Linked DNA regions of Oryctolagus cuniculus. The protein of the gene in region 4 interacts with the protein of the main gene of each other region in a biochemical or structural test. Links are inferred from orthologs where the notes say so. Each region holds a gene or a part of one and is shown on either strand. Other genes may lie near its edges.

Region 1 (7,279 bases), on a different chromosome or scaffold from region 4:
CTCCCGACTTCAGTGTAGCTCAGTCCCAGATATTGCAGCCATCTGGGGCATGAACCAGTGGATAGATCTCTCTCTCTCTCCCTCTTTGTAACTCTTTTACATGAATGAATGAATAAATAAATAAATGAATTTAAAAAGGAGTAATATGGCACATCTATGTCACTGAAAACAATTGGAGGGGCTGGCACTGTGGTGTAGTGAGCTGGGCTTCCACCTGTGACGCTGGCACTCCATATGGACACTAGGTCATATTTTGGGTGCTCCTCTTCCATTCCAGCTATCTATCTGCTTATGGCCTAGGAAAGCAGTGGAGGATGGCCCAAGTGATTGGGCCCCTGCCTGATGTAGGAGACCCAGAAGAAGCTCCTGGCTCCTAGCTTCGGGCTGGCCCAGCTCCGGCTATCTGGGGAGAGAACTAGTGGATGGAAGGCTTTTCTCTCTTTCTCTCCCTCTATGTGTCTATAACTCTGTCAAATAAATAATAATAAATTGGAAATAACTATCTCAGAAATTATGAACATGGTAATTTATTACATTAAAAAGTATGTTACAAAATAATACTCATAATCCCATTTTAATAAAAGCTTTAAACATTAGCCATATTAGGCTATATTAAAATGTTAAGAAAGGTCATTTTCTAGGTAGTTTATAATAGAAAAATTAAAAACTATTTTCCAAAATACACTGCTTTTTAAGGTATCTCCTCTAACCAGACATAAAAATAGTCTGCATAAAAATGAAAAAATAGTCTGCATAAAAATGAAATGAATTCATTTTTGTATTCTTCAAATACACAGTACTCTCTTCTTAACAGACACCTTTGTTGAGTGAATGATACGGAGAATGTGGGATTACAAATAACAACTGAAGCTGCTTAAAATAACCAAACCCAAAACCTTTGTAGGAGAATTACATTTGTCCCCCAAGTCATATTTCACTCATGGTTTTAATTTACAGCTAGGAAATGTTGTACTTTTAACAAACAGAAAAGAAACACAGATAATGAGTGTCAGTTAAAAAATGGTGGGGTGTAGATGACATGGAAATCTTACAAATATTTTATTTTTGAAATAACAAGGCAAATAAAAAAGCTTACACTAAATTTTCTCTGACCATATCTGATTTATGTAATTTGTAATTCACATTTATTTGGTTTCTACTTGTATAATGGACAGATGGGCAATGTTCTGTGTGAATAAAAGGAACACAAATATTTATGGGGCCTTTACAATGACTTTAAACACATGTACTCTGTTCATGAAATGCCAATCCTTCTGCGGACTATACTAAGTCATACTATAAAACTATAGTAATTAAACTAAATGTGCACAGATGGATCAATGAAATAGAAATATTCTAAAAAGAAAATCCATTTCTTATAGAAACTTTCTATAAGACAAAGATGGCATTTCAAAACAGTGAGGAAAGGACAGAGCAGCTATTTAGTGAATAGTCCTGGGACGACTATGGAAGCAATGATTAGATCTCCACCACACACATGTAAACACCCTGCAGTTAGGCTGAGGAGCTAAATATTGAAAAGAGAAGAAAACAGGCTATTTGATTAATCTTGGGATAAAGAAGTTCTCTTTAAACGATATGCCACATGCAGAAGAAGGAAATACTAATAAATCTGGAATGATAATTTAAAAATCCTGTTCAACAAAAGAAGGGGACAAGCAATACATTGAGAAAAAAATACTTGCAACATACTTCATAGGCAAAGGATCAATACTAAAATGCAAGAGAAATGATCTGGAATTTCTCTCGCAACAATAGCTAGCACACGATGCTTACACCAGGTGCTTTTCTGAATACTTTGGAGATCAATTCATTTCATCTCACAACCAGGTATTATTATTCTTATTTTTACATGAGAAAACTGAGGTAGAGGTTACAGAAGTTGTGCAGGGATATGGGGTCAGGAATGTAAAGCTAGAATTCCAAGGCAGCAAATCCTATGGTTCTTGCTTTCCTTTTCTCTCTTAATCCTCAGATGCCAGTAAAGGACACGGAGGACCAGCACTCTCACTTCACTGCTTCCCAACTTTATGCGGCTGCTCTCCTGTCTCAGGGCTTACTTAGCTCCACTCAAACTTTCCCTGAAAGCCTGTTTGTCGACGCAGCAACATCACGGCTGAACTGGTTAATTCCCCATTCCTGCCAGTGGGCTGACACCTCCTGCTCTCTACTCTTTCATATTTGTCCTCCGCTTCTTTCTCAACAAGTTCAAGAGCCAAGACTGAACGAATGGTGAGAAGCTCAAGCATTCCTTTTCTGCCTTGCTCAAAAGCCACCTTCCGGGTTTTCAGAAATACATTAATTGCAATCCAAAATCTCAAATTCTCTGGTTTACTGTCTGCAACACATATGTTAAGTATAAAGTATGCAAGAGAAAAAATAAAATCCATGTCATAGCTCTCCGAACACTTGAGCTATGCCTATCCCTGTCGAGGCTCCATTATGAAGAGAAACCCAGAAGGGAACATGGAGCTTTGAGAGGTTGTTCCTAAACTCCACCACATGAAAGTACTGAAAGCTGAGCACGGATGAAGTCTGCAAGGCTAACACAGCCTTGGGTTTTTAAACAAGCCTAACAGGATTCCACTGGAGATTTTCATCTGTACATCCCAAACCTCCTGACCCTCTTCTCGCACTGTGTTCTACTACCAACTTGGTTTCTGGCTATGACAAAATAATTCAAATGTGTAGGGGTGAAATGGGCACTGTGACAACCCGACAGGTGGGGGTCAGAGAACAGTGCTTTGCTAAGCACCCAGGGGAGGGGCCCCAAAGCGATGCCGGTATTTTCACCCAAAGCGATATTTAAGAATGTTCCTCACTGAACGGATAGGGTGCTAAGAAGAGATTAAGGTCAGTAGGAGAATGTAAAATTGGAATATGCAAGATCACATTGGCCAGACTAACCCTCCACGAAAACACAAAGCTCTCTAACTACCGGCTCCACCCAGGCCCGAGGCAGGGACTTCACACCTGACCGGGTCCCCAGCGCAAGCCAACCCTTGCTGGACAGCTCCGCCACGACCCGGCGGCAGGCACCCCTAAGGCACCCCGGCCAAGGCACCTGGAGGCATCCCACCACCCGCGAGCTCCGCGTCCTCGCCGGGCTGCAGGGAAGACCCGAGGGGCCGAGAGGCGAGCGGCGCCCGCCCCCCCACCGCCCTCTGCTACTCCAGCCCTGGAAGCCACAAGTGAGCAGAAGAAGTTGTGGCAACCAGACGGGGTGAGGCGGGGTGAGGCGTGGAGGGGGGGGGGCGAGAGTATTTAATGCCAGGCATCGGCGCTGGTCCCACGCAAGGTCGTTCACTCCCAGTCACTTCTCTGCTCCCCCGGGCGGGCTTCCCGCCAAAGACGCCGCCGGGCTTCGAGGCCAGCCCGCCGCGCCCCCTCAGCCCTCCCCGGCGGGCCGCGGCCCCTCCCGGCCGCAGCTCCGAGCCCAGCCCGCTTCCCGACACCCCTCGCCGGCGCCCGGCGCCCCTCGCAGCCCAGGCCCCGGGGCTCCTTCGCCCCCGTGCCCGCGGCTCCCGCCAACGTCCCCCTCCGCCCTCAGGACGCCCCCGTGCCCGCCTCCCGCGCCCCGTGGCGCCGGGGCCTGGGACCTCGGCCCCTTCCTGTCCCCCCTCGCTGCCCCTCTCCTCGGGGGCCCACCTGGCGCCCCAGTCCCCGGCCGGTCTCCTCAGGGAGCGACCGCCTCCCAAGTCCTCCCGGCCCCTCCCCGCTCCCGGGCGGATACAGTTTGAAGCCTCTCAGGATCTCCCTGGCCCGCTCGTCCTTGGCTGACATGTTGCGGCGGCCGCCGCCCGCGGCTCTCTCACGCTGCCCTGCGGAGCCTCGCGGACCGTGCCCAGGAAGCGAGCACAGAGCCGCAGCCCGGCCTGGAGACCTCGGGCAAGCAGAGGCAGCGGCCAGACCCGGACCGGCCTCTCCCTCCCCTCAGCTCCCGCTCCTGATCCTTCTCCTTCCCTCTGGTCTCGGAGCGCCCGCCCCTAAGCCAATGGAAAGCCCGCCTCGGCGATTGGCATTCTCACCAGCCAATAGCAACGCTCAGCGGCTTCGCAGGGGGACGAAGAGCATCCATGGGAAGCGCCCTCCCCGAGAAGTCCCATAGGACAAAATTTTCACTGGGTGTTGTTGCCTAGAGTTAGCCCCAGTGGGGGCTTGGCTTGACATCTGCAGAGGCTCTAGGGGCCTGCTCCTGCTGCTGGGCTCACTAGTCTCCTGAGACGACCGCAGGTTGCATTGTGCGAAGGGGCAGAGGACTACATTTCCCAGAATTCCAGTAGAGCGCCAGGGGACCACAGATCCCAGCACGCAGCAGAGAGGCCCAGGGACTACAAATCCCAGCATTCGTCGCGTCCCGAGGCTCTGTAACTTAGGCTCCAGTGTGCCGCGCAGTGTGCGCAAATTCGTAAACCTGCCGGCAAGGTCGGTGGTTTCTGCATCCCGAGACTGAAAACCAGGCGGGAAGACCCTGTGGCCCGGTGAAAGACGATGACAGCCCACAGAGAATTAACTTCTGTTTACATGGAACTCAGAAATCGCCTGCAAATCATGGTAAGGTTGCAAACAACAAAAACACTGATTAAACCACGAAAGAATGTAACAAAACGACTTCTTCAAACCGTGCTTGTTTGTTGGACGGGGGCGCCGTTTGCGTGTTTTGCGGGGACCTCTGGTGTGTTCCTGCCTCGGACCAGGAGAGCTATCGATTGTGTGCTCTGTCAATACGGGAAGGTGCTTGAAAGAATTTGCTAATCCTGCCCCTGCTGTTTTTACGTGCGAGGGAATTGAGGCCCAGAGAGGCGAGAGACCGGCCTCAGGTCACTGCAAGTTGGGGCAGAGTTAGGATTCGGCCCCGAGTCTGTCGCCCGCAGCCTGGGAGGTGATATTTTTAGCAGTATGGCAGTGCGATTACTGCCCGCCTTGTTGAGTAGTTTGCCCATCCAAGGTTGGAACACCCAGAGGTTGGGTAAAGCATTTATTCGGTGGATTTCTGGCAGATGAGGAAGTGTGTGATATTTGTTTTGGTAGGACTTGGTCTTTTGATTTGTTCTTTCTTTGTCACTCAAGGTGACATTTGATGTGATTTCAGGAAGTGGGTAAAATCGCAGGGTGAGCCCGGGCTTGCTGGGAGATGCTCTGTGTGTTTTCCTAGGACTTTCTTCCTCTCGTCCCCCTCTGCACCCAGCTTTTCACCAGCTTGTCACCCTCTGCACTCAGCTTTTCCTTCTGGGTAATTCAACAAACGTGCTTTCTGCTTCTGTGATTTGTCGGGCACTTAGTGGGTAGAAGACATGGTCCCCGCCTCCACAAAGATGACCGTCTATTTGAGTTAGGGAGACTCCACTGAGAATCAGGATGGAGCGTGACAAAGGGCATCAAGGTGACAGCAGTATGCCACGGGGGGCTCTGGTGGAGAGATTGATTATAGCTGGCCAAAGTTGATGGAGGAGGTGGCCTTTGAGCTTGAGGGATGGGTAGGATTTTCTGTTAAAAATTTTATCTAAAAATATTTTGTTAATGAGATAGAATATTACATATGGTAAGGGAACACTTTTCACGTATGTGAAAACCCCTGTTGTCATCCTCCAAATCAAAACATGGAAGATTTCCAGCCATGCCTTCTGCCAGTTTGCAATCAGTATTGCATCCTGCCATCCGGAGAAAAGCAATGCTTCTGGCTTTATTTCTGTAGATCAGTTTCATCGGCTCTTGAGTTCCACTTTAAATATAATCATACAGTATGGACAATATGTGTCTGGTTTGTTTTGTTCATCAGTATTTTTGTGAGATTCATCCTTGTTGTGTCCTTTTTTTTGAGTAGTATTCCATTGAATACACACACACACACACACTGTATACCACAGTTTATTCTACTGTTGGAGGGCATTTGGGTTCTCATCCTTTTTGTGGCTATTTTAAAGCTGCAGTGAGCATTCTGGCTTCTCTTTGTGGATGTTTGTCTGCTTTCCTGGAAGAGCTGCTGGCCTGCAGGCTACGTGCGTCCCCACTGATAGCAGATACTGCCAGTTTTCCAAAGCGGTTGTAACAGTTTTGTGCCTGCACCAGCAACGTGGGAGGGTTATGGTTGCCTCTGATCCCTGTCAACCCAGAGTGTTTGCTGTCACTCTTGTTGGCATTAGTCACACCTTTCCTGAGATTAAGCACCTTTTCATTTGCTTATTGCTACCTGAATGTCTTCTCTTGTGAAGTGCCTGCTTTTCACAGATTGGGCTGTTTGTCTTCCTATTAATTTGTGGTTCTTTACATAGTCTGGGTAAGAACCCAGTTGTCTACACGCTTCCAGTCTTTGTATCTTTCCCAAGACTGTGCCTCGTCTTTTCACTCTCTTTTCAAACAGAAATTCATGGCTTTAATGTAGTGCAAAACTCAGTGCTTTTTGCATGAATTTAAGAAGTTGTTGTCTGTGGAGTTGGTAGGATTTTTACACCCAAATATAAGAGAAAAGCATTGCAAAGAACAGAGAACGAGCCCGAGCACAGGCTGGTGTGGTCAGGGGAGGTAAAGGCCTGGAGCTTGGGCTGGGAGGAGGGTGGCGCAAGGAACAGCTGGGAGGGGTAGGAGGGAGGACCCCAGGAAGGGCTTTGCCTGGAGCCTCGGAGCCTGGACATCACTCTGGAGGAAGCAGAGGCTTCGCTGGGACATTTGAGAGCTCACACTGGACTCAGTTGCCTTCTTCCCACCCCCAAGTGTTGCCCCTTCTCCACCACGTACTTTGTTCACTTAGCACCTCCAGGTAGCCCTGGCCGCCCAGGCCAGAATCCTGGGGCACATCCTCCTTCCTTCTCCCTGAGTTCAACTGATCACCAAGTCTTACAGTTTGTGTGGCTTAACGTCTCCAACAATGCTCCTTCTTTTCCATTCCCGGCTGCCACTGTCTTTGCTTGAGATCATACGATATATATATATATATATATATATATTTTTTTTTTTTTTTTGACAGGCAGAGTGGACAGTGAGAGAGAGAGACAGAGAGAAAGGTCTTCCTTTGCCGTTGGTTCACCCTCCAATGGCCGCCGCGGCCTGCGCGCTATGGCAGGCGCACCGCGCTGATCCAAAGGCAGGAGCCAGGTGCTTATCCTGGTCTCCCATGGAGTGCAGGGCCCAAGCACTTGGGCCATCCTCCACTGCCTTCCCGGGCCACAGCAGAGAGCTGGCCTGGAAGAGGGGCAACCGGGACAGAATCTGGCGCCCCGACCGGGACTAGAACCCTGTGTGCTGGCGCCGCAAGGCGGAG
Region 2 (7,467 bases), on a different chromosome or scaffold from region 4:
CCCCAGCTGCTGGGGGTATCTGTGGAGTGAACCAGGGAGTGGAAGATCTGTCTCTCCTCCCTCTCTATGCCTTTCAAATAAAAAATGAAAATAAATAAGTGTTTATATATCAAAATAAAAAGGGTTTATTTAGAAATGGAAGAATGGGAGGGGCCGGGTTAACGCCCTGGCCTGAAGCACCGGCATCCCATATGGGCGACGGTTCTAGTCCCAGCTGCTCCACTTCCAATCCAGCTCTCTGCTATGACCTAGGAAAGCAGTAGAAGATGGCCCAAGTCCTTGGGCCCCTGCACCGTGTGGGAGACCTGGAAGAGGCTCCTGGCTCCTGGCTTCGGATCAGTGCAGCTCCGGCCGTTGCGGCCATCTGGGGAGTGACCCATTGGACGGAAGACCTCTCTCTCTCTCTGCCTCTTCTCTCTCTGTGTAACTGACTTTCAAATAAATAAAATAAATCTTTAAAAAAAAAAAAAAAGAAATGAGGCCGGCGCCGCGGCTCACTAGGCTAATCCTCCGCCTAGCGGCGCCGGCACACCGGGTTCTAGTCCCGGTCGGGGCGCCGGATTCTGTCCCGGTTGCCCCTCTTCCAGGCCAGCTCTCTGTTGTGGCCAGGGAGTGCAGTGGAGGATGGCCCAGGTGCTTGGGCCCTACACCCCATGGGAGACCAGGAAAAGCACCTGGCTCCTGGCTCCTGCCATCGGATCAGCGCGGTGCGCCGGCCGCAGCGCGCCGGCCGCGGCGGCCATTGGAGGGTGAACCAACGGTAAAAGGAAGACCTTTCTCTCTGTCTCTCTCTCTCTCACTGTCCACTCTGCCTGTCAAAAAAAAAAAAAAAAAGAAAAGAAAAAGAAATGGAAGAATTGGGGCAATCCTGTGGCACAGTAGGGACATCAGCAACTAGTCAGAACACATAACAAAGACAGTTTCACAGATCAATAAACAACATTCGTGGGGGCTGGAACCGTGGCAAAGTAGACTAAGCATCCACCTGCAGCACTGGCGTCCCATATGGGTACCAGTTTGCGTCCCAGCTGCTCTCCAATCCAGCTCTGTTTATGGCCTGGAAAAGCAGCAGAGGATGGCCCAAGTGCTTGGGCCCCTGCACCCGCATGGAAGATCCAGAAGAAGCTCCAGGATCTGGCTTCAGCCTGGCCCAGCCTTGGCCATTGTGGCCATTTGGGGAGTGAACCAGCAGATGGAAGATCTTTTGTCTTTGTCTCTGTCTCTCTCCTCCTTCTTTTCCTCATCTCTGTAACTCTGCCTTTCAAATAAATAAAAAATAAATCTCTAAAATTTATTTTTAAATAAAATATAAAAAGAAGCAAGGGTTGGGGCCAGCATTATACACAGCAGGTTAAGCCACACTTGCTACTCCCATATCCCATATCAGAGTGCCTGAGTTCAAGATCCAGTTACCCACTTCCAATCCAGCTTTCTGCTAATATGCCTGGGAAGGCAGAAGATAAGGGCCCAAGTGCGGGGGTCCCTACCACCCACACGGAAGACCTTGATGAAATTCCTCGTCCTGGCGTCAGCCTGGCCCAGCCCTGGCAGTTACAGGAATCTGGGAAGTGAAATAGCTTGCTTGCTGTCTCTCTTGCTCTGTCTGCCCCCTTTCCCTCTCTGTTGTTCTGCCTTTCAAATAAATAAATTTTTTAAGAATCACTACCCTTACACTAAGGTAAGAAACAAGTCTCAGCATCTTCTCTACAGCAGACATGACCACAGATGCCTCCTCAGCTGCTGGCAGGATTGAACGGTGACCACGTGACCCTGTGTGACCTGCCAGCAATAGCAGGTGACCAGACACAAACAGGTTAAAACTTGGGTAGGAGAACCAAAAGATGTGTTCTTTATTTCTTCAAGATTTATCTTACTTATTTGAAAGGCACTGGCACTACATCCCGCCACCCTCTGCAGCCACACACACGCGGCAGCACACAAGGTCTCACGGCCACCTGTCATTCATTCGGTCATCAGGACCATCAGCTCCCATGCTCACCAAGGTGTGGGTCCAACAGGTGAGGCTGCTCCTGGTATTTGTTCATTATTACTAAAAAGAAAAAGAACACAGAAGTCAATCACCACTAAGCCAGACGCGCACAGGGACCTCAGGAGCCACCCTGCTCGTCCTTGCTAAACGCAGGCAGCGGCCAAGAGCACACCCACAGAGGCCCCCCAGAGTGTGCACCCCCACTGCCCTCTGGCCCCCTGCTCCACACACCTTTCCTGGGGTCCTCTCCTCCCACGGCCTCCTGAGTCTTCCTCCCCAGCAGGGTCTCTCCCTTGTTCCTTCCTTCCCTCCCACTCCCGCTCAGGCACACACCCTCTCTCTTCCCTCAAAGCCCTGCAAAGTCTGACCCACAGCCCCCAGCTGCGGTGCTTCTGTCCAATCCAAGGAGCACTCCTCACTGCCGCCCACCTGCCAGGAGCAAAAGCCGGGCTCCCGCTGGTGCCCGGTGCCCGCCTCACCCTCAGTTTGTACGTGAGGCGGTGTTATCAGTCACCAGGCATTCGGGTAACTGACAGACGGGATTCAGACTGCTGCTGCCAGTGGCCTCTCCACCTGGACACCACCCAGCCTCTCTCCTAAAGCCCGGGCACTGCCTCTCCAAACCGAGGACAAGCGCGTGGCGAAAACGCTCTAGGTCATCATGCACCTCCAGGCCCTACAGACGCACTTGGAAGTCATCCACCAGGCTGACCAAGAAGCCACTCACACTGTGGCTGTCATCCCACACCGCACCCGTTTCTCCAAGTCTCAGCAGCCCACAGCCACGCTGGGCATCAAGCCAGTTCCTCCTGGTCCAACCCCGTGGCCCCGCCGAGCAGTCCCCAAACTGTGGTCCACACACGGGTCCACACGTGCTCTGCAGTCGACACGCTGAGGGTCACACCTGGTCTGCACAACTGATCTACACATTGCAGTCCTCACACTGTGGGACACACTGCAGGCGCACACTAGGCGCACACACAGGTATACACACAGGTGGGAGCACACACGGGGGGGCACACACAGGGGAGCACGCATGTTGCACAACACAGGCACACACAGGTGGGAGCACACACAGGGGAGCACACGCAGGGGAGCACACACAGACATACACACAGGTGGGAGCACACACAGGGGGGCACACGCAGGGGAGCACACACAGGCATACACACAGGTGGGAGCACACACGGGGGGCACACGCAGGGGAGCACACACAGGCATACACACAGGTGGGAGCACACACAGGGGAGCACACACAGGGGAGCACACATGTTGCACAACACAGGCACACACACATAGCTAGGAGCACACCCAAGTGCATACATGCAGGGGAGCACACACGTTGCACACCAGATGCGCACGCTCTGTATAACAGGTGCACACACAGGCATACACACAGGTGGGAGCACACACAGGGGAGCACACACGGGGGGCACACACACAGGTGGGAGCACACACAGGTGGGAGCACACACAGGGGAGCACACACGTTGCACACCAGATGCGCACGCTCTGTATAACAGGTCCACACACAGGCATACACACAGGTGGGAGCACACACACAGGTGGGAGCACACACAGGGGAGCACACATGTTGCACACACAGGTGGGAGCACACACAGGTGGGAGCACACACAGGGGGGCACACACAGAGGTGGGAGCACACACGTTGCACACCAGATGCGCACGCTCTGTACAACAGGTGCACACACAGGCACACACACAAAGGCACACGCACACACCGTGGGGTCCGTCTCGGGGCCGGGAGCCCACGTGCCACCTGCCCAAGGGTCCCGCTGCCCTCTCCAGGGGCTGCCGGGAGGGAGGGCAGGGTGCGCCCTCCCCGCAGGGGCCCCGAGACGCTGAAGTCCCCCGCGCCCGCGCACCGCACCCCGCCTCACCGCGGAACCGCTCCACCGCCGCTTCCCGCGCCGCGCGCTCGCCGTGCGCCTCCCGCAGCCCGCCGAGCAGCGCGCGGGCCTCGGCGCTCTCGCTGAACGCCTCCAGCGCGGCGCCGTACGCCAGCGCCTCCTCCTCCACCTCGTCGTCGCGGGCGCCGGCCACCGGCTCCTTGCTCAGGTCCATCGCGGCGGCGAGGCCCGGCCGGCTGAGGAGAGCGCGCAGAAAGGCGAGCGAAGGCGGCGCCCGCGCACGCCGGCCCCACCCAGCGGCCTCCGACCCCGGAGCCGGCCTCGCTACGGGACGCGCGAGTCGCCAAAATAGCGGCAGCGCGCGCGGAGGTGGCGCCCGTCCGGCGAGGGCCGAGGCTTACGGCGGCCGAAAACGAGAAGTCGCTTTCTGGTCCCGGGTCGCTCGCCGCTGTCGGGCTCCGGGCAAAGAGGAGCTGCGGCGGGGTCTCCGCGCAGGCTCAGTTCGGCGGGGAAAGACCGCGCTCCGATCCGGCCCGGGCAGCGGAGGGGCGAGCCCGGGGCGGAGCTGATGCTGGGGGCGGGCCCTGGGCGGGGCTCGTTTGGGGCGTGGTCTGAGGACAGACGAGCGACTGGGTGGGGCCTGAGGGCGTGGCCGGGCGGGGTCTGAGCCCTGGAGTGGGGCGGGGCCTGGGTGCCGGGGCGGGGCCATGACCGCCTCCAGTCCCAAGCGCCAGGGCCACCCCGCACTGCGGTCCGGCGCGAGCCGTGGGCGCCCGACGCCCACTGGCCCTGGGAAAAGCACCTCCCCCTGGAGACCCCAGGCCCAGGTGAGCGCTGGCGGAGCAGGAAGCACGCGATGGACCCCCACCCAGAGGTGGTTTTCATGTTTAAGGTTTATTTATTTGAAAGGCCTTTAAAGAGAGAAAGAGAGCCCCTGTCCGCTGGTTCACCCCTCCCCCCACATACCCGCAACAGCCGGGGCTGGGAGCCCTCAGCTCGATCTGGGGGCCCCCGGTGAGTGGCAGAGCTGCTGCCCCCGGGGGGGGAGAATTGGGGTCCCAGGGATGCACCTGCTGCGAGCAAGCCGTGCCCGGAGCTTCGTCCCTCGAGAGAAGGCGGCCGCGCGCGGCCAGGTGCGCGTGTCAGCCACGCAGGGTCAGTGGGCCGCGCACACCCCTGGCGGCGCGGTCGGCAGGGGACGGGTGTCCCATCTGCGCCCCTGCTCCCCTTACCCCGCCTTCTGCCGCTCTAAGGGGTGCTGCCCTGGGTTAGCGCGCGTCGGGGCCGCCCCCGGAGGCCGTTCCCGGGAGGGCTCCACCGGGCGAGCTGCGCCGCAGCAGGGTGCGGGGATCCCGGCCCGCGGTTATGCCAGCAGCCTGCGCATGGCGCCCAGCGCGGCCGAGCGGTAACTGCGCCCGAAATGGTTCCAGTGGTTGAGGAGGTTGAAGAGCTGGTAGAGCAGCAGCCGCTGCTCGGAGCCCGGCGCCTTGGGCACCTTGCGGTGGTAGGCGGTGAAGAAGGCCCTGGGGAAGCCGCCGAACAGCAGGGCGATGGCCAGCTCGAACTCGGAGTGGCCGTAGAAGGAGGCCGGGTCGAAGACCACCGGCCCCGCGTCGTCCTCCGCCGCGTTCCCCGACCAGAGGTCACCGTGCAGCAGGGCGGGGACCACCTCCAGGCCGCAGAACAGAGCCGGGATCTTCACCTGCGAGAGGGAGGGTCGTCGTGCCCAGTGCCTGGACGCGGCCGGAGGCAGCCCCTCTCCGCTCTGTGCGCGTCCCACTTCCCTGGCACCAGCGGCCGCAGCAGAGGACACAGCCCTCCCCACTGCCCTGTCACTGCTCCTCTCCGCCCTGCTGGCCACTTCATCCATGAGGTCAAGGAGCCAGTTCACCATAGGCTACAGCGGGACTTCAGAGTCAGGCTTTGAGACCTGGCCCTGGGGGACTCGGGGGCCCATCCTGGGGTGAGACATTCCCACTAAGACAGAGGGGAACGGAGGCTAAGAGTGGGCAGCTGTCAGTAACCAGGAGACGGGGACGGCAGTGCCCCTGGGCTCCACAGGCAGGAGGTCAGGTTAAATACCCCAGGGGGCCATGTTGGTCCTCGGATCCCACCCCTGTCCCGTTCCTGTCAGGCTCATAGTGGCCCCTGATGTGTGCGCCACTTCCCCAGCTCTGCACAGAGTCCCTCAGCTCTCCCGGGGTGAGAGAACAGCCTCTCTCCCAGAGAAGTGGCCGCAGGGCCCACCTGTAACCTCGACCACAGCTCTCGTGCCTCTCGGTCAGCATAGTCTTTTTCGATGAGGTCCAGCTGTGCCTGGAGCCGGTGCCGGGTGAAAAAGGTTGGCCAGTCGTCATGCCACTCATTCACCTGGGCAACGGAAGCAAGGACAGAGCTACTCGCTGTAGCCACAGGACAGTGCATGCAATCCGCCCAGGCCCTGGGACAAGGGCCGGCCAGCAAGCAGGCTGAGGCAGGGTCGCCACATACTCAGCTCTTCCAAAGGAAGGAGTTAAAGGGGAAAATGGAGACAGAACTGGCAACACACATAAACAACAGATACACTCAAATCTAACTATCAACAAACACATAAAAATGTCAAAAAATACTCTCGCTAAAGGGATTGACAGAACAATAAAGCTGAACTTAACCACAAGTGGCGTGCAGGAATGCACTTATATATAAACAGACAGAGGTTACAAGGATAGAAAAGAGACCCTGTTAACTAGTGTAAAGGAAGCTGGAGTGGCAACCTTCATACCTGCAAAGTCGATTTCAGAGTAAACAGTCTCATCAAGCATAAAGTCATTTCACAATGAACGGGGGTCACATATGCTGCACAACACATGATAGCCCTGCACATGCCTGCCTTTGATACAGTGCAAAATACACGAAAGTAAAGCTGATGAAACTGAGAGGGGCGGGCATGGTGGTTAAGCCACCGCTTGGAAGCCCACGTCCCATATCAGGTCCCAGCTCCTCCACTTCCAATCCAGCTTCCTGCTAACGCACCTGGGAAAGCAGCAGAAAATGGTCCAAGTACCTGGGTCCCTGCCACCCTGCAGGAGACCTGGATAAAATTTCTGGCTCCTAGGCCGGCGCCGCGGCTCACTAGGCTAATCCTCCGCCTAGCGGTGCCGGCACACCAGGTTCTAGTCCCGGTCAGGGCGCCGGATTCTGTCCCGGTTGCCCCTCTTCCAGGCCAGCTCTCTGCTGTGGCCAGGGAGTGCAGTGGAGGATGGCCCAAGTGCCTGGGCCCTGCACCCCATGGGAGACCAGAAAAAGCGCCTGGCTCCTGGCTCCTGCCATTGGATCAACGCAGTGCGCTGGCCGCAGCGCGCCAGCCGCGACGGCCATTGGAGGGTGAACCAACAGCAAAGGAAGACCTTTCTCTCTGTCTCTCTCTTTCACTGTCCACTCTGCCTGTCAAAAAAAAAAAAAAAAGAATTTCTGGCTCCTGGTCTGACCCAGCCCAGGTCATTGTGGGCATCTGGGGAATGAACTGGCACATGGGAGATCTCCCTATTCTCTCCCTCTGTCACTCTTTCAAACAAATAAGAAAATATTTTTAAAAATTGCAGAGAAAGCAGCTGGCGCTGTGGTGCAG
Region 3 (7,425 bases), on a different chromosome or scaffold from region 4:
AGAACACCTGGAGTAGGGAGGTGAGGGTTGGGGAGGTCCCGGCTCAGGGTCCAGAGCCTGCTGCGGCTGGGGTCAGGGGTTCCCGCTGTAGGAATAGTCTGCTTTGTTGTGCATCACCAGCCGGTCATCCACGAAGTAGAAGCTGTCAGACTGTGTCTCGTACGGGTGACGGATCATCTCGCTGACTGCAAGAGAGGCCCAGCCAGGCAAGGGCAAAGGTCAGGAGCTGGAGCAGGGCCCCTGCAGGACAGGGGCACCTGAGTTCCCAGCCACTTTGCCCATTTCTCTACAGGTGACGTGGGAACGGTGCCTGATCCAGAAGACTTGGGGGCGGGGCTGGAGAGGAGGGAGGGAGGGGGTCAGACCCACCAGGACCCCTTGCACCCCAGCCTGGTCTCTGTTCGCACCCCCCCACACTCCCTGCCCACGCACTCAGCTCTTCAGAGAGCGGGGGGAAGTCGTAGATGTGCTCGCAGGTGTTCTTGCTGCTGGGGATGCAGAAGCCGAAGTGGAAGTCAAAGCTTTTGAGCAGCTGGTTGCGGAAGTAGTGCCTCTCGATCATGCGGAAGTTGTTGACGGGCTTCTCTCCCACCGTGAACTCCACCCTGAAGCAGGAGGAGGGGCAGGGCTCAGTGTGGCCGGCAAGCCAGCCAACTGGCTGGCAGGAAGGGCTCCCTCCCACCCTTCCCCTCACCCGCTGCTGCACCCCAGCCCAGAGACTCACGTGGCTCCCACCTGCCTCAGGCGGAGAAAGGCAGGGGTGAACTGGTAGCGGACAAAGCGCCCAGCATTGGGGTCCAGATCCCGCCGGTTGATGGGCAACCGCTCTGCAAGGTACCCCAGCTGGGGCTCAGTGGGTGTCAGGCTGAGGCCCTTGCCCACCCAAGGTTCCTCCCCATGGCTCCATTGGTCTGAATTTTTGACAACTCCCCAGAAGATTCTAGTACATGTGGAGGGTTAGAACCATTGGTCAAATGATGATACCACTTGCGGGTTCTAGGTCAGATTTCAAATGAGGTTCTGTGGACTGCAGGGTGCAGCCGCCTGCAGTTCCCAAAAAGGCCTGCAGAGGGCAGGCTGGCAGGGATTGAAGGGGCAAGACGTCCAAGTCCAGAAACGTATGGCAAGGAAAACAGGCCCGGCTGCCTGCAAATCCTGGACGATCCTGGCATCCGAGCCTCAACTCTACTCCGACTCCTTTGAAGCCCAAGAAGTCGCTGGGCAGAGCTCTCTGCAGTGCCTGCCTGCCTCCCCCTCTTAGCAGCCCACCTGGCCTGCTCACCTGAGGCTGGGGGCTTCTTGATTTCAAAGAGGACAGTGCCTGAGTCCATGTCCCGAATCTTGAACCTGACGAAGTCGATCTTGTAGATATTCTCCTCGGGGGAGCACAGGTAGTCTAGGGGAGACAGGCAGCTGAGCAACCAATGGGTCCCCAAAGCCCTGCTGCCAGTTTGTGGGTGCCTGGATTAGCTACCTCTTTCTCCTGGAAGAGACAGAACTCTGCCTCGGAGACCTAAGCTGGAAGAAGAGCCCCATCCTACTGGCCTCAGCGGATCAGGGACAGTCAGGGCCCTTCCCCCACTCTCCCCTCCACCCTGGAGTTGAGGGTCCAGATCTCAGCCTCAGCTCTGCCAGGCTGGCTGGATGCCTTTGTGCCAAATGGGCCCAGTCCAGTGGGAGCCCCTGGTCCAAGAGGGAAGACACAGCCCCACCTTCGGGAACTCCACTCTAAAAGGGGCGACACAGCCCTGTCCATGGCCACCTCTGGCACCACCACATCCAGATATGTCAGGCAAGGATGGTTGTGATTTGACTTTCACTGACAATGGGGGGTGCCAAGGCAGGTACAAAACCCTTTCTCTGTTCTTCTTCTCTCCCAGCCCCCCTTCTCTTCCGATAAGCGGCTTATCCAAGCCCAGCTCTCTTAAGCAGCTTAGCCAAAGCTCTGCTGACTCAAGCCCAGAGCCTAGGATACTGGGGGAAAGGGAGCCAACTTTGCTCCCATCCCCTGTTGCTCTCCAAACAGGAGGAAGTCTTAGCAAACAGAGGGAAGACCCTGAGACGTCACCCATCCACCCATCTGAGCCCCTTGCCACAGGGAAAGCACCCCCAGACCCCACAGAGGACAGGAGAGTCTAGGCCAGGAAGAGGGTGTGGGTGAGGTTAAGGGGAACCAGGAACAGAGACAGGCCCTGCTTGAGGAAGCTCAGGAACATACAGGGCCTGATCTAACCCTCACTGCTCTTGCTGACCAACTGCAGGTGCTCAGGGGGCCGATGAACAGGAAGGAGCAGAGCGGTGCAGGGGGGCTCCCATGCTGCCATCCCGTACAGCACCACACCCTCCCCTGGTGGCCCCGAGAGGCCTGCAAACTACCCTCCAGGCCCCTGGGTCACCTCCTATTCCTCTAGGGCAGGAAGAGGAAGGGAACACAGTCATTCTCTCTTCCCCAGGTCTGCCTCTTCTCCTTGCCTGGGGTAACCCCCTCCAGGAAGCCCCCTGGCAGCCATTTGGGACCATGGGGCCCAGCACTGCCCCATGGTGGGGAAAGGAGGGGGAATGGGCGTGGGTAACTCTTACCTCCATGCTGATTTTCATAGAAAGTAAGCACTAGTCCCAAGGTATACAAGGGTACTTCAAAAGGCCATGGGAAAATGGAATCAAATGTTTACTTGGGTGCACTGGAAGTCTGACATCCATGCACAGCGACTCCATCATACTTATTTCCATGAACTCCATGGGGAGCCCTCATGGAGAGACGGTGCAGGCCACAGGGAAGGGAGGTGGCAGAGCTGGGAGTGGGATCCTGGGAGCCAATTCCCAGCTCCCCAGGAAGCCCTCTCTTCCCTCATCTTCCACCTCTCCGGGCCTCTCCACTTGCTCGAGAGCAACCTCTGGCAGCCTGGCCCCAGTCTCTTCTACTGCAGACTCGACCTGCCAACCCCTCTGTTGCAGAGGAAGCGTGGAACAGGGGCTGCTCCCTCCCTCTGCCAGGGGAGGATGCAGCCCGGGGCCCAGGGTCACGATGGCCTAGGGCTCGGAACACAACTGTTCCCTTCCCCTCAGCCACAAATAGCTCCCTAAGCTGGATTCAGGGCCTGGTAATCCTGGAACAGCAAACCTCAGACCTGTGTGATTAGGGTCAGAAGAGACCATCCCAGGGCTGCAGGGTGGAGAGACCGGCACGTAGCTCCTGATCAGCACAGGGAGGGCTCCAGTGAACACCTGCCCGCTGCACTGCCCACGGATGCCCCTTCTCTCGGGGCTGTGACATTTCCTCCAAATTAGGAGACACATGGGAGTACCTGCGCTGGAAGCCTCCTATGGTTACAAAACAAACCCCAGAAGTTGCCCGGGCCTCAGGTCGGCCTGACCTCCGATTTTCTATAAGGGAGTCTGTCCCAGAGCTAAGCTGGAACTGGGTGCTGTTGCTGCAAACCGCAGCCCAATCATCACCAGCATCAGCCTGCTCCAGCCCTCTCCCACCTTCAATACCCACAGGAACGAGAGCTCCACGCGCTGGGGGCCCAGACAAGAATGCCCGCTGCTTAGCTCAGAGGGAGCGGGGTCCCCAGGGAGCCAGAGGCATGCTCAGGCCTGCCACCAGGGTCCCTCCACAGCCCTGCAGCTCCTGCAGCTCAGGGCTCACGTCCACTCCAGTGCCTGCCTCCCATCCCCACACAGAGGCCCCAGAGCTGCTCACAAAGGGGGCCAGGCCGGGCTGCTGCTGAACGATCCCATGTGGAGGGCCATGGTCTCTGCAAGGCTGAGCCGTGGCCTCTGCCAGGAGGCGTCCTGGCCCTTGTCCTCTGCCTAGAGTGGCCCTCTCCCCTGCCCTGCATGCCCAGTTGTCTGCCTCCCAGAAGCCAGGGGCAGCCCTGAGGGGCCCTCAACGCATGGATAAAGGAGCCCTATTTATAGTGCAAGCAGAGCTCAGATTCAGACGGCTCTTTATTTTCAGAGCAACCTGATGAAGTCGGTGTCAGTATCCCCAATTTACAGATGAAGAAACATGCTCAGGGAAGTGTAGCTACTTGTCCAAGGTCACCCAGTCAATTACACTCAGAAACTCCTACCCACGGTGGAAGGGATCAGAGAGGACAGGCTTGGGGGGCATTAACCCGCTCCCATGACAGGGCCCACAGCCAGCGCAATGACGCTTCCTGCTCGTTCCCTCCTGGGGATGAAGATGGGATGGGGGCACCAATGCTCAGGGAGACCCGAGGGTCTTGTGGGCTCAGGAACAGCCTCCCCCTGGCCCCCAGCGTGGGCGGACACCCTGCACGTGACCCCCCTCATTGGTGCGGACGGGCCTCCCAGCCCCAAGACTCCCTGTTGCAGATGCTGCCCCACCTCCACCAAAAAAAGCGACAGACTCTCAAAGGGGAAGAAATGGGTTAGAAATAAACCTCCAGAGAAAAGAGGGGGAGCGTACCGAGAGATCAAGGGAAGGGGAACCCAGAGATCTCAGGCTTGCAGGCAGAAGGGAGAGGAGTAGAGTAGGGGACACAGGCGAGGGGCCTGGTGGGGGAGGGGAGGCGAGAAAGGGGGCGGGGGCCGGGGCTCAGCGCGCCTTGCAGGCCCCCTCCCGGCTCGCTCTCCCTCCCGCCCGCGGGCGGCGCTCCCTCGCCGGCGCTCACCGCCCGTGATCCGCTGCAGCCCCAGCACGTCCTCCGGCCCGATGGGCTGCTTCCTCTGCAGCGGCCCCGGCCTGGGCCCCGGGCCTGCCTCTGGCTCCGACTCGGACCCGGATTCGGATTCAGCCCGCGGATCCAGCGTGGGCTCCAGGCTCGGGCCCGAGGACCCCGGAGCGGGCTCCGCCCCCGTCCCGGCCCCGCCGCCGCCCTTCTTCACCTTCATGGCCTCGCGGGGCCGCAGCTCGCCTGCTGCCGCCGCCGCCGCTGCCTGCGCTGGCTGGAGCCAGGGGAAGGGGGAGCGTCCGCAGCCCCGCCCCCGGCCGGGGCCCCAGGTACCGCCCCGCCCCCAGGGCGGGCCCGGTGGGGCCACGCCCACCAGGGCTGGACGACCTAGGGCGGACGGGGGCTGCCCTGGATTTTGTTCATTTTTGAGTACTTTTTCAGAAGTATTGGAGGTCCTAAGTGCTCTTACCTGCTGTGTCCCAGTCTTTCTGCCCTTCTGGCGAGTTCCAGTCCCAGGGCCTTCGCCTGGGATCCTTTTCCACTGCTGCTCTCATCCCAGCCTTCTGGTGTCACTCTGCTCAAATGTCATCGCCTCTAAGGCCTCCCTCCCCCAGTCACTATCTGATCAGTCTGGTGTTTTTTCTTTCTAAAGCACTATGAAATTATTTTTATGTGTTCAGACTCTTGCCCCTGACAGGCCTGCTCCGTGAAAGCAGAGATCCTGTCTGCTTTGTTGTATACCCCAGCGCCTAGCACAGTGCTCTTGGCAGCTCAAAACATTTTTTTTTTTTTTCTTCAAACTGATGAAAGAGTATCCGAGGGCTTACACTGGCACAAGCTATTCTTTCCAAGACACGGTACTAAAAGGCAGGAGCTGTTCCAGGACTTCCTGGAGACAGGAAGAGCACATGGCCGTGTGGAGGCAAGGTGGGCCTGTGAGCGCAGGAGTACTTTATCAGAAAACCTTTAGACATGGAGGAAGAAAGAGCGACAGTCATGCTCCCACTTCTAGTAAACTCACTATGTACTAAGAGCCAAACGGAGCGCAAACACTTTCACGTGCTTATCACATTTAATCCTCACAGCCGCCCTGGAAGGGAGGTATCATCAGTGTCATTTGAACAAACGGAAAACAGGCTCAGAGAGATTAAGTGGCTTATCCAAAGCTCCCCAAACAATACTGCAGAAGCGAGGATATGAATTCAGGCCTGTTTGATTCCGAGTCTAGAACTTACCACACTGCCTCTCGGCAAGCATGAAGGGAAACTGCTACACACAGCACCAGATCCTGGGCTCCGGTCAGGCTGTACCCAACAAGTCAGCCAGAAGGGAGAGGAATCAGGCAGAAGATCCTGGAGGTGACCTGTGCCATACCCTGTCCGTGACAGCAACGCTACCGCTCTCCTCTGCTGCGGTCAGAGAGAAACGCAGGGGAACAGGCTAGAATCTAATCCAGGGTTTTCCCCTGCTTTATGCAGAGGCGAGCTGCCCCCGCCTCCAGGGAGACAGGCAGAGGCCTTCAAGTCAGATAAGGAGGTAGGGAAGGGACCTGAGCCAAGGGACTGGGGAGCGGAGGGAAGATGAGCCCATCTTGGAGTGGTGTACTTGGGTTGCTGGAGAGTCAGTCAGTCCCTCCCCGAAGCCCCATCCACGTGCCTCTGTTGAACCCTCCCCGCCTTGGCCAGAAGCGAGGCTTTCTGCTGAAATGCCGCCCTGCTCAGTCTGTCTTCTCAGATTTGTTCCAGTTTTTCCGGGTCTCCAGGAAGATCTTGGCCAGGGAGTGCAGGATGGGCACGGCCATGGGGAGGAAGAGCGGGATGTAGATGGCAAACTTCTGGTCATCGGGGAAATAGAGGAGGTGGAGGAGCGAGGGGTCAAAAAAGGCCCGCTCAGAGGACGTCACAGCCTCCTGGCTGGCGACGAAGGCAGACGCCAGGTGCCCAGAGGCTAACTCTTCTGCTGCCTTCTGGACTGCAGCTACAGCCCTGTACACCTAGGAAGGGGAGGGGACGATGGTTAGCAGTAAGGCCTGGGCCATTGCGGGGAAGGGGACTGGGCCTTACTGGGCCTTCTGTATATCAGGGAGGGGGCCTGGAGTTCACCAAGGATCTATGCAGGTCAGGCTAACAAGGCTGCGGCTTATTTTCTGAGGTCCAGCTTGAACCCTCTCTCCGATCGTGACTCCTGCTGGGGAGCTGGCACGGCTGTCTGCAGGTAGCCAGGGGCACCATGGGTGGCACGCCCACACTCATCCCAGGCCTCAGCTGGCTCTCTGGTCTTGCCACACCCTGGGCCTCACTGGCCACTCCAATCCTAGGCCTGCTTACCTCAGATGCCACGTCGTCCTTGATGACAATGTTGCTGATCTTGCCCAGGAGCTGGGCCAGAGACGTGAGGGTGGTAGTGGCTGTGGCCAGGTTCTCCACCGATCGAGCCCAGAGCAGCCGGTCTAGCTCCCATGTCATCAGCCCTTCACTCTTGGGCCCTGAAAGCAGGCATTTTGGAGGCACCTGGGGCTGAGCAATCCCAAAAAGCAGTCTGGAGAAACAGGGAGAGAAGATCAAAGTGGCTGAGACCAGAAGGTGGGAGGCTGTGACTAGGATTCCTGTAATACCTGCTCTAAGCCAATGATTTTCAGTCGTATCCAGAGCCACAGGGGTTGTGGCAAGTGTCTCAGGGTCTCGGAAGGTGAGCAGCAACGCCAAGCAATCCAGAGCCCCCAGTCCCTGCTTCAACCAGAATGTTGCATTTCCACTGTTTCTTTATTAGATTTCCAAAATCTTGT
Region 4 (7,583 bases):
AAGCCACTGTCTGCAGCGCCGGCATTCCATGTGGGCGCCGGTTCGAGTCCCGGCTGCTCCACTTCCAATCCAGCTCCCTGCTAATGCGCCTGGCAGAGCAGTGGAGGATGGTCTAAGTGCTTGGGCCCTGCACCCACGTAGGAGACCCGGAAGAAGCCCCTGGCTCCTGGCTTCCACCTGGCCCTCTGGCGAGTGAACCAGTGGATGGAAGATCTAATTCTGATTTATAAATCAATCTTTAAAAAGCTCCATAGCCTGTGAGAAGGCCTTAAACACCTCGCCTGATGTCCGTCTACACTGCAGTCCACGCCCCTGGCCTTTTGTGTCCCTGTGTGGGAGTCCCTCTGCCTGGACCTGCACTGCCGGCAGCTAGGCACGCTGTCCACTGCACACGGCTTCTTGGTGGCCACAGAGAACCGGAGGCTGAACTTCAACAGGCTGGGAGCCCTGGCCGGGGCCTGTGTCCCTTTTTCTAATCCATACCTAGGAGGGCTGCAGCTACCCTGTGACCCAGCCTCCCCTTCTCTGCCAAAACACATCCCCCCTCCCCCCGCCCCAGCTCCAGTGTCACCTCCTCCAGGAAGCCTGCCTGGACTCTCCCGGGTGGAGGTTCCACAGCCCCGTCCTGGGCTCCCACTCCCTGTGACACAGCAGCAGCCGACCTGCGGGCTGCCAACGGGCCTTTGCCTCTCTGTCCCCCGCTGGACTCGGGCATCCCAGGTGGCGTCCAGAGAGGTTGAATCAAGAAACGGCTGAGCTGGGCGCCGGGGCGAGGAGTGGTTTATTCTCAGAGCTGAGCACAGGGCGAGGCCCACGGCCTCAGTAGCAGCGGAGGGGCCTGTCCAGCCCCAGCCCTTCCTTTTGGGTGCGCAGCGGCGGGCCGGGTAGGGCCAGGGCAACAGACAGTCCGGTCTGGGCGGGGGTGGGGAGTGTGAGTTCTGCAGGTGGGGCGGGGGAGCGGGCAGCGGCTCAGTCGGCCGTGAAGATGCGGCTGGAGATGTCGTCCAGCAGCCAGTCCACGCCGCACAGCAGGTTCTCCCCGGTCACCGCGCTGCAGCCCTGGATGCACCAGTGGTGGCTGCGGATGGAGTCCAGCTCCAGGGCCTGGCGGGGCGGAAGTACCGGTGGGGGCAGCCCGGGTCTCCCCACCCAGGGAGCCGCCCAGGCCCTGGCAAGGGGCCCCCCCCCGGGGGGGAGAGCTCCCTGGGCAGTGCCACCCCCTGCTGCGGCGTCCGCCAGGTCCCAGGCATCCTGCTGGGGACCCCCCGCGCGTCCCCGCGCCCTCGTCCCCGCGTCCTCTGCTTCCGAGGCCTCGGACGCCCAGGAGAACCAAAGCTCAGACGCTCCACAGGCCCCCAAGGTCACACAGCCGGGCAAGGCAGAACCGGTTTCTAACCCGGCTTTCTCATCCCCGGGGTCAGGCGGTCCTGGCCAGCGAGAGCAGGGGGCCGCCGTGGCAAAGGGAGCTCCCCGGGGCGGAGGGCGCCGGGTGCCCGCCTGTGCGGTAACTAACAGGCCCTGGCGCCACCCCTACGCCTCACCTGCCACACAGCAGGGGCTCACAAATGCCACCCAACACCTGGCGAGACGCCCGCCTCCCTGTCCCGTGAGCCCCGCACTCACCTCGCGAATCGCATTGGAGGACAGCGCTCCCGGCAGGTCCTGCTTATTGGCAAAGATCAGGAGGGTCGCTCCGGCCAGTCGCTGCGGGGCAGAGAGGGGACGGGGCTCAAGGGCCGGCAGCCCCCTCCTCCACTGGCCCAGAGCGGCTGTGGGGGCGGGAGCGGCCCGGGTGGGAGGGGCAGCGGGCCCCTCACTCCCAGTTCCTGTTTCCTCTTTTGTAATCCAGGACAAGAGGATCCTGGGCCCCTCTGTGGTTCTGATGGTCTGACCTCCAGAGACCCCCGCAGACCCCAGGACAAGACCATCCTAGGGCCCTGTGGTTCCCATGGTCTGACCCGCAGAGACCCCGTGGACCCCCGAGGACAAGAGGATCCTGGTCCCCCCTTTGGTTCCGATGGTCTGACCCGCAGAGACCCCGCAGACCCCGGGACAAGACCATCCTGGCCCCCTCCGTGGTTCCGGTGGTCTGACCCGCAGAGACCCCGTGGACCCCCGGGACAAGACGATCCTGGCCCCCTCCGTGGTTCCGGTGGTCTGACCCGCAGAGACCCGGCAGACTCCGGGACAGAACAATCCTGGTCCCCCCTGTGGCTCCCATGGTCTGACCCGCAGAGACCCCGTGGACCCCCGGGACAAGACCATCCTTGGCCCCCCTGTGGTTCTGGTGGTCTGACCCACAGAGACCCCACAGACCCCAGGACAGAACGATCCTGCCCCCCCCCCCGTGGTTCCGGTGGTCTGACCTGCAGAGACCCCGCGACAAGACCATCCTTGGCCCTCTTTGTGGTTCCGATGGTCTGACCCACAGAGACCCCGCAGGCTGCCTTCCCCCTTCACGTGCCACTCCCAGCAGGCCTCACTCTGCCTCTGATTCCAGATATTTCCACCCGCGTCTTCCCCGGGCGTCCTCCACACCATCGCCCTCACCCTGTAGGCCTTGGCCTGTGGGGCGTGCGCTCAGAGTCTGCCGGCCATGATCTGTGCCCCCCCCCCCCAACATCTGCCTTTCCACTCCCCAGGAGCCCTGGCTCTCAGCTGCGTGCAGTGCGGCGCGAGGCTGAGTCCAACAGCAGGGACAGGACCGCCGTCCCCAGCCTTCCGCTCCTGGCTGACAGATGACCGGGTTACGGAAGATGTTCGCACCACGCGAGCTATGAAGGGGTGAGGGCTCCAGCTCCTCAACTCTTCTGTAAATCTACCGTTTTAAAGAAAACTGCTCGGGAGGCCGGCACTGGGTAAAGCTGCTGCCTGGGACGCCAGCATCCGGCGTGGGAGCGCTGGTTAGGGTCCCGGCTGCTCCGCTTCCGGTCCAGCCCCCTGCTAACGCGCCTGGGAAGGCAGCAGAGGATGGCCCAAGTGCTGGGGCTCCTGTCACCCACGCGGGAGGCCCGGATGGAGCTCCAGGCTCCCGGCTTCAGCCTGGCCCAGCTCCAACCACTGCAGCCATCTGGGAGTGAACCAGCGATGGAAGATCTTTCTCTCCGTCTCTCCCTCTCTTTCAAATAACATAAAGTAGATCTTTCTGCTTTCAAAGATCATCTCGGGATGTGGAAGTGAGCGGTTAGGTGGCTCTCCTGAGGGCACACAGTAGGGCGCCCCACCCCCGCCCCCCAGAGCCTCACTCGCTAAGCCCAGTCCTGTGGGTGACGTCATGCCTGCTTCAGGGCAGACGCTGAAGCTCAGAGGAGAAAACCGGCGGCCCTCGGGGGTCAGGAGCCCAGGTCGCAGTGCACAGAATGGCACCATGGGCCTCCCGTGGTGGGGTGCGGTGCAGGAACAGGTCTGTCCCAGGCGTCCCTCTGGGTGCCCGTGGAGAAAGGTGTCCACACACCCGACACATGTATTCACAGAGGAGGGCCGCCCCCGGCCAGCAGCCTCTCTCCACGCCCCACCAGCGCTGTGCGCATGCAGACACACCCCCAGCCCTCCCCGCCCCCCCCCCCCCCCCCGGCGTGCGCCTCCTCCACCAGCCCCTCGCGCACACCCCCCCACCCCCTCCCGGCCCCGGCGTGCACCTCCTCCACCAGCCCCTCGCGCACACCCCCCCACCCCCTCCCCGGCCCCGGCGTGCACCTCCTCCACCAGCCCCTCGTGCACACCCCCCCACCCCCTGCCCGGCCCCGGCGTGCACCTCCTCCACCAGCCCCTCGCGCACACCCCCCCACCCCCTCCCCCCCACCGGCGTGCACCTCCTCCACCAGCCCCTAGCGCACACCCCCCACCCCCTGCCCGGCCCCGGTGTGCACCTCCTCCACCAGCCCCTCGCGCACACCCCACCCCCTCCCCGGCCCCGGTGTGCACCTCCTCCACCAGCCCCTCGCGCACACCCCCCACCCCCTGCCCGGCCCCGGCGTGCACCTCCTCCACCAGCAGGCTCTGGAGCTCCCGCAGGCAGTCCTGCATGCGCTGGCGGTCAGCGCTGTCCACCACCCAGATGAGGCCATCGGTGCTCTCGAAGTAGTTCCGCCAGTAGGAGCGCAGGGACTTCTGGCCGCCCACGTCCCAGATGTTCAGCTTGAACCTGCGCAGGGGAGGGAGGCGGCAGCGGATGAGCCAGGCCCCTCTGCGGCTCCGGGCCCTGCCGGGGCCCTGCTCACCCACCCGCGGTGCTCCAGGGTCTTGATGTTGAAGCCCAGCGTGGGGGAGATGGTGTCCACGTCCTCCCCGTTGAACTTCTTGAGGATCGTGGTTTTGCCGGCATTGTCCAGGCCGCTGCGGCGCGCCCGGTTAAGGAAGTCCCCGCATCCCTGCGTCCCTGCGCCCCGAGGACCGACCGACCGCTCCCCGCCTGTGCCAAGATGAGTGGTGCCCACGCTGGCCCCTGAAAGGCGCGGCGGCATCAGGCATCTCCTCTGGCCGGGCCCTCCTCGGCGTGGGTCCTGGTGGACCAAGGCCACTCCCTCCCAGGCCCGCACTCTACTGGGGAGGACGCGAAGTGCCCTGAGCCAAGGCCCCAAATCCAAATAACCGGCTTTGCCAAGGCCCCGGGGGACAGCCACACTCTCACCTGCTTCTGGAATATTCCAAATGCATGCAAATGATGTGTGAATATTCCAAATGCATGCAAATGATGTGTGAATATTCCAAATACATGCAAATGAATGTGTGAATATTCCAAATACATGCAAATGAATGTGTGAATATTCCAAATGCATGCAAATGGATGTGTGAATATTCCAAATGCATGCAAATGGATGTGTGAATATTCCAAATGCATGCAAATGGATGTGTGAGCTCACAGCAGAGGAGTCATTCCCACAGCTCGGTGTACCTGGCAGAGCAAGGGGGCTGTGGCCGGGCAGGTCCCCGACTCAGCCGTCTCTCTCCCGACCTTGAGTGACCCAAGGCCACAAACTGGAGGTGAGGACAGCACCTCTGCTGAGCCCAGGCCCAGGCCCTGAAAATCAGCTGACGACCCCGCTGTGGCTCTCAGCCCCTCCCCCATCTCATTCCTCACTTCGGCTGCAGGCAGCTCCTGTCCACCCCCCTGCCTTCTCCCTCATCCTTGAACCACACCCACCAGCCTCTGGCTCCTGCTCGCCAAGGTGAGTCCCAGGGGCCCCCACCCCCAGCTCCTGGTCCTCCTCCAACCTCTGGCCTGCATACACTCCCTGGGCGGTGTCCTCCACAGACCCCCGACCTGCACCTGCCCACCTGCCCACCTGCCCTTCCCGGGAAGTCTGGGGCCTCTCTCAGGGGAGAACAGAACTCTGCCTCCCAGCCCCTGCGCTCCTCCCCGGCTCCTCCCAGCCTCGGCCAATGGCCCCTGGTCCTTGTAACTGCTCGCACCAGGAACCTGGCAGTCGGGCCTCACTTCCCCAACCTGACACCAGGGGCGGGGAGTGGGGCAGAACGTCCCCCCCCCCCTTTCAGGATCTCACCGCTCACACCGTGGCCCAAGCCACCAGTCTCTCTCCCCAACCTCAGCTCGTGCTCTGCACCCCTCACTGTCAGGAAGCAGAAGGCCCCAGGGGAGGCGGCTCTGGGGTCCCCTCTGGGCGCACCTGCTCCCTTTGCCCCCCCCAGCCCACCTCCCCCAGCTCTGCGTGTTCAGCTGTCACTCTGCGAGCCTGGTCCTCCGAGCACGGGCCACTCAGCACCCTGCTCCTCCCTGCATTACAGCGTTCCGCCACGCAGGGTCTGCTTTGCTGGGTTACCCCAGCCCCTAGGACGCTGGCGCGCACACAGTGGCGCTCAGCTCCCTGGGCCTTTCCCGGGGCTCTTTACACCCGACACAGATGCACGCATCAGGGTCTCCTCTCCCCAGCCAGGGCCTGCGAGCCCTCGGCCCGGGGACAGCAACGGGTGACCGCAGCAGAGACGGACGGTCGGACACAAGCGCGAAACGACCCGCGGCGTCCACGCCCCCGGCCGCGCGAGCTGAGGGCGGGGCCCGCTCGCCCCTGGGATTTCGAACTCGAGGGCGGGGTCGGGGCCCGGCACCCTCGGACAGGCCGCGGGGGGGTGGGAGGTCAGAGCCGGGGCGGCCAGGGGCCCCCAGCTCCGTCCCGCCCGACGGACGGCGACGTCCAGTCACCTCCGGGCCCCACCTCCCCCTTCCATTCGGGACGCCGTGTCCGGGCGCTTCGGCTTCAGGCCCGCACCTTGGGCCTTCGGAACGGAGCCCCCCGCCCCGAGCCAGTGGTACGGCCTCCTCGCGGCCCCCCGCCGGGAGCAATTGGTAGGGCCCACGTGCGTGACGCACAATGGGCAGTTGGGACGGGAGAGCGTCCGCGCACCCTGGCGCCGCCCACCCGGCAGGGCGCCCGCCACCCCGCGGCTCCGGCCCCCGGGAGGATACAGCATGAGCAGTCGCAGCTCCCGCTCTTTCTGCTTCATCTTCTTCAGAATGGTCAGAAGCCCCATAGTCCCGGAGCCCCCTCCCGGCTGCCGTCTCTTCCTAGTCCCGGGCCCCCGCTCCCTGATCCTATTGGCTATCACGCCCAACGACAGCGCAGCCTATTGGCTGCTGCCTCCCGTGGGCCCGCCCTCGCCCCACGTGACTGCCCGGCGGCCGGCGGGAGCCGCTGCGGCGGTGCGGGGGGGCTTCTGCGGCGCCGCCCGCCTTAACCCTTCGCGTCCCGGGGGCTGAGAGCGAAGTCCCCATCTTCCTCCGAGCACCCAAGGCCTCGGCCAGCCACGGGAACCGTTGCGTCTTGATGGGTCGGGGGTCAGAACCAAGAGCCCCGCGGGTGTTGAGCGTGGCCGGGGTCGCCAAAGGCCCTGTGTTAGGAAACACGGTGTGGATCCTGCCGTCCCCCCAGCCCCGCCGGTGTCGGAGGAGATAATGGGGCTTTCCTCTCCTCCGGCTCCGGTGGGAAGAGGACCCGTGCTTCTCCGGGGCGAAAGTGCCCCCTGGGGGCCATTTCGAGATGTGCGGGGCGGGGGGCTTCTTTGCATCTGAGCCCTGGTCATTTCGGGTCGGGGGCACAGCCCTGCCCCGAGGATCGTCTGGTTCCACCGAGGCCCTTGTCACAGGGGCTGGCGTGTGCTAGATGCTGACCGCGCGTGGCCACGCATGTGTCCCGGCTCTGCGCACTGCGGCCCCGAGGGGTTCATCTCCTTTTTTGTGGAGTCCAGAGAGTTTAAGGGTGAGGTTTGAACTCCGATCTAGCCGAAGGCGGCTGCGTGGAGTTCGCCTCGCCAGGGAGGGGTCTGGAAGGAGCTGGATTTTCCCGTCCTCGGGAGGTGGTTGCGGGCAGGTGGAGACGGCGGGGCGCCCGCGTGGGCGCCTGGGGTGGACCGCATTTTCCCTGCATCAGGCGCACACAGGGGAAGAAAAGGAGCGCGAAGGCTCTGACCCCAGCCGAGGCCAGAACAGGGAATGCCAAGGCCGCGGGACCCGCCTGGGGTCTGCCCTCACAGATGACCAGTGAGTTCGGAGCAGCCAGTGGGGGAGGTTGCCCAGGCCGTGGGGTAGAGTCCACGGAGGAGCCGGTGGAGGGGCGGGCAGGTGCTAA

The links.
Region 1: the proteins of ARL2 (region 4) and PDE6D are reported together in a solved structure, tested with the Homo sapiens proteins (2 studies listed by BioGRID and IntAct, with this or other methods). The link is inferred for Oryctolagus cuniculus from reciprocal best matches to the Homo sapiens genes ARL2 and PDE6D.
Region 2: the proteins of ARL2 (region 4) and TBCD form a complex in vitro, tested with the Homo sapiens proteins (2 studies listed by BioGRID and IntAct). The link is inferred for Oryctolagus cuniculus from reciprocal best matches to the Homo sapiens genes ARL2 and TBCD.
Region 3: the proteins of ARL2 (region 4) and UNC119 form a complex in vitro, tested with the Homo sapiens proteins (2 studies listed by BioGRID and IntAct, with this or other methods). The link is inferred for Oryctolagus cuniculus from reciprocal best matches to the Homo sapiens genes ARL2 and UNC119.

Annotation. Positions count from the first base shown.
Region 1 is NC_091434.1:7,547,670-7,554,948, reverse strand, and holds the start of PDE6D (retinal rod rhodopsin-sensitive cGMP 3',5'-cyclic phosphodiesterase subunit delta), read right to left. Parts: upstream 4,015-7,279; 5' UTR 3,805-4,014; coding exon 3,755-3,804; exon of another isoform or gene 3,670-3,754; intron 1-3,669. UniProt on the Homo sapiens protein: Promotes the release of prenylated target proteins from cellular membranes. Modulates the activity of prenylated or palmitoylated Ras family members by regulating their subcellular location.
Region 2 is NC_091448.1:398,353-405,819, forward strand, and holds the start of TBCD (tubulin-specific chaperone D), read right to left. Parts: upstream 4,257-7,467; 5' UTR 4,075-4,256; coding exon 3,891-4,074; intron 2,051-3,890; coding exon 2,000-2,050; intron 1-1,999. Other genes in the region: FN3K (fructosamine-3-kinase), read right to left, coding at 5,224-5,562, 6,108-6,230.
Region 3 is NC_091448.1:44,060,483-44,067,907, forward strand, and holds the start of UNC119 (protein unc-119 homolog A), read right to left. Parts: upstream 4,939-7,425; 5' UTR 4,861-4,938; coding exon 4,641-4,860; intron 2,605-4,640; exon of another isoform or gene 2,581-2,604; intron 1,397-2,580; coding exon 1,283-1,396; intron 828-1,282; coding exon 725-827; intron 606-724; coding exon 433-605; intron 186-432; coding exon 73-185; 3' UTR 1-72. Other genes in the region: PIGS (GPI transamidase component PIG-S), read right to left, coding at 6,358-6,633, 6,968-7,178. UniProt on the Homo sapiens protein: Involved in synaptic functions in photoreceptor cells, the signal transduction in immune cells as a Src family kinase activator, endosome recycling, the uptake of bacteria and endocytosis, protein trafficking in sensory neurons and as lipid-binding chaperone with specificity for a diverse subset of myristoylated proteins.
Region 4 is NC_091432.1:6,519,973-6,527,555, forward strand, and holds ARL2 (ADP-ribosylation factor-like protein 2), read right to left. Parts: upstream 4,865-7,583; 5' UTR 4,779-4,864; coding exon 4,631-4,778; intron 4,445-4,630; coding exon 4,225-4,444; intron 4,145-4,224; coding exon 3,982-4,144; intron 1,705-3,981; coding exon 1,624-1,704; intron 1,105-1,623; coding exon 970-1,104; 3' UTR 764-969; downstream 1-763. UniProt on the Homo sapiens protein: Small GTP-binding protein which cycles between an inactive GDP-bound and an active GTP-bound form, and the rate of cycling is regulated by guanine nucleotide exchange factors (GEF) and GTPase-activating proteins (GAP).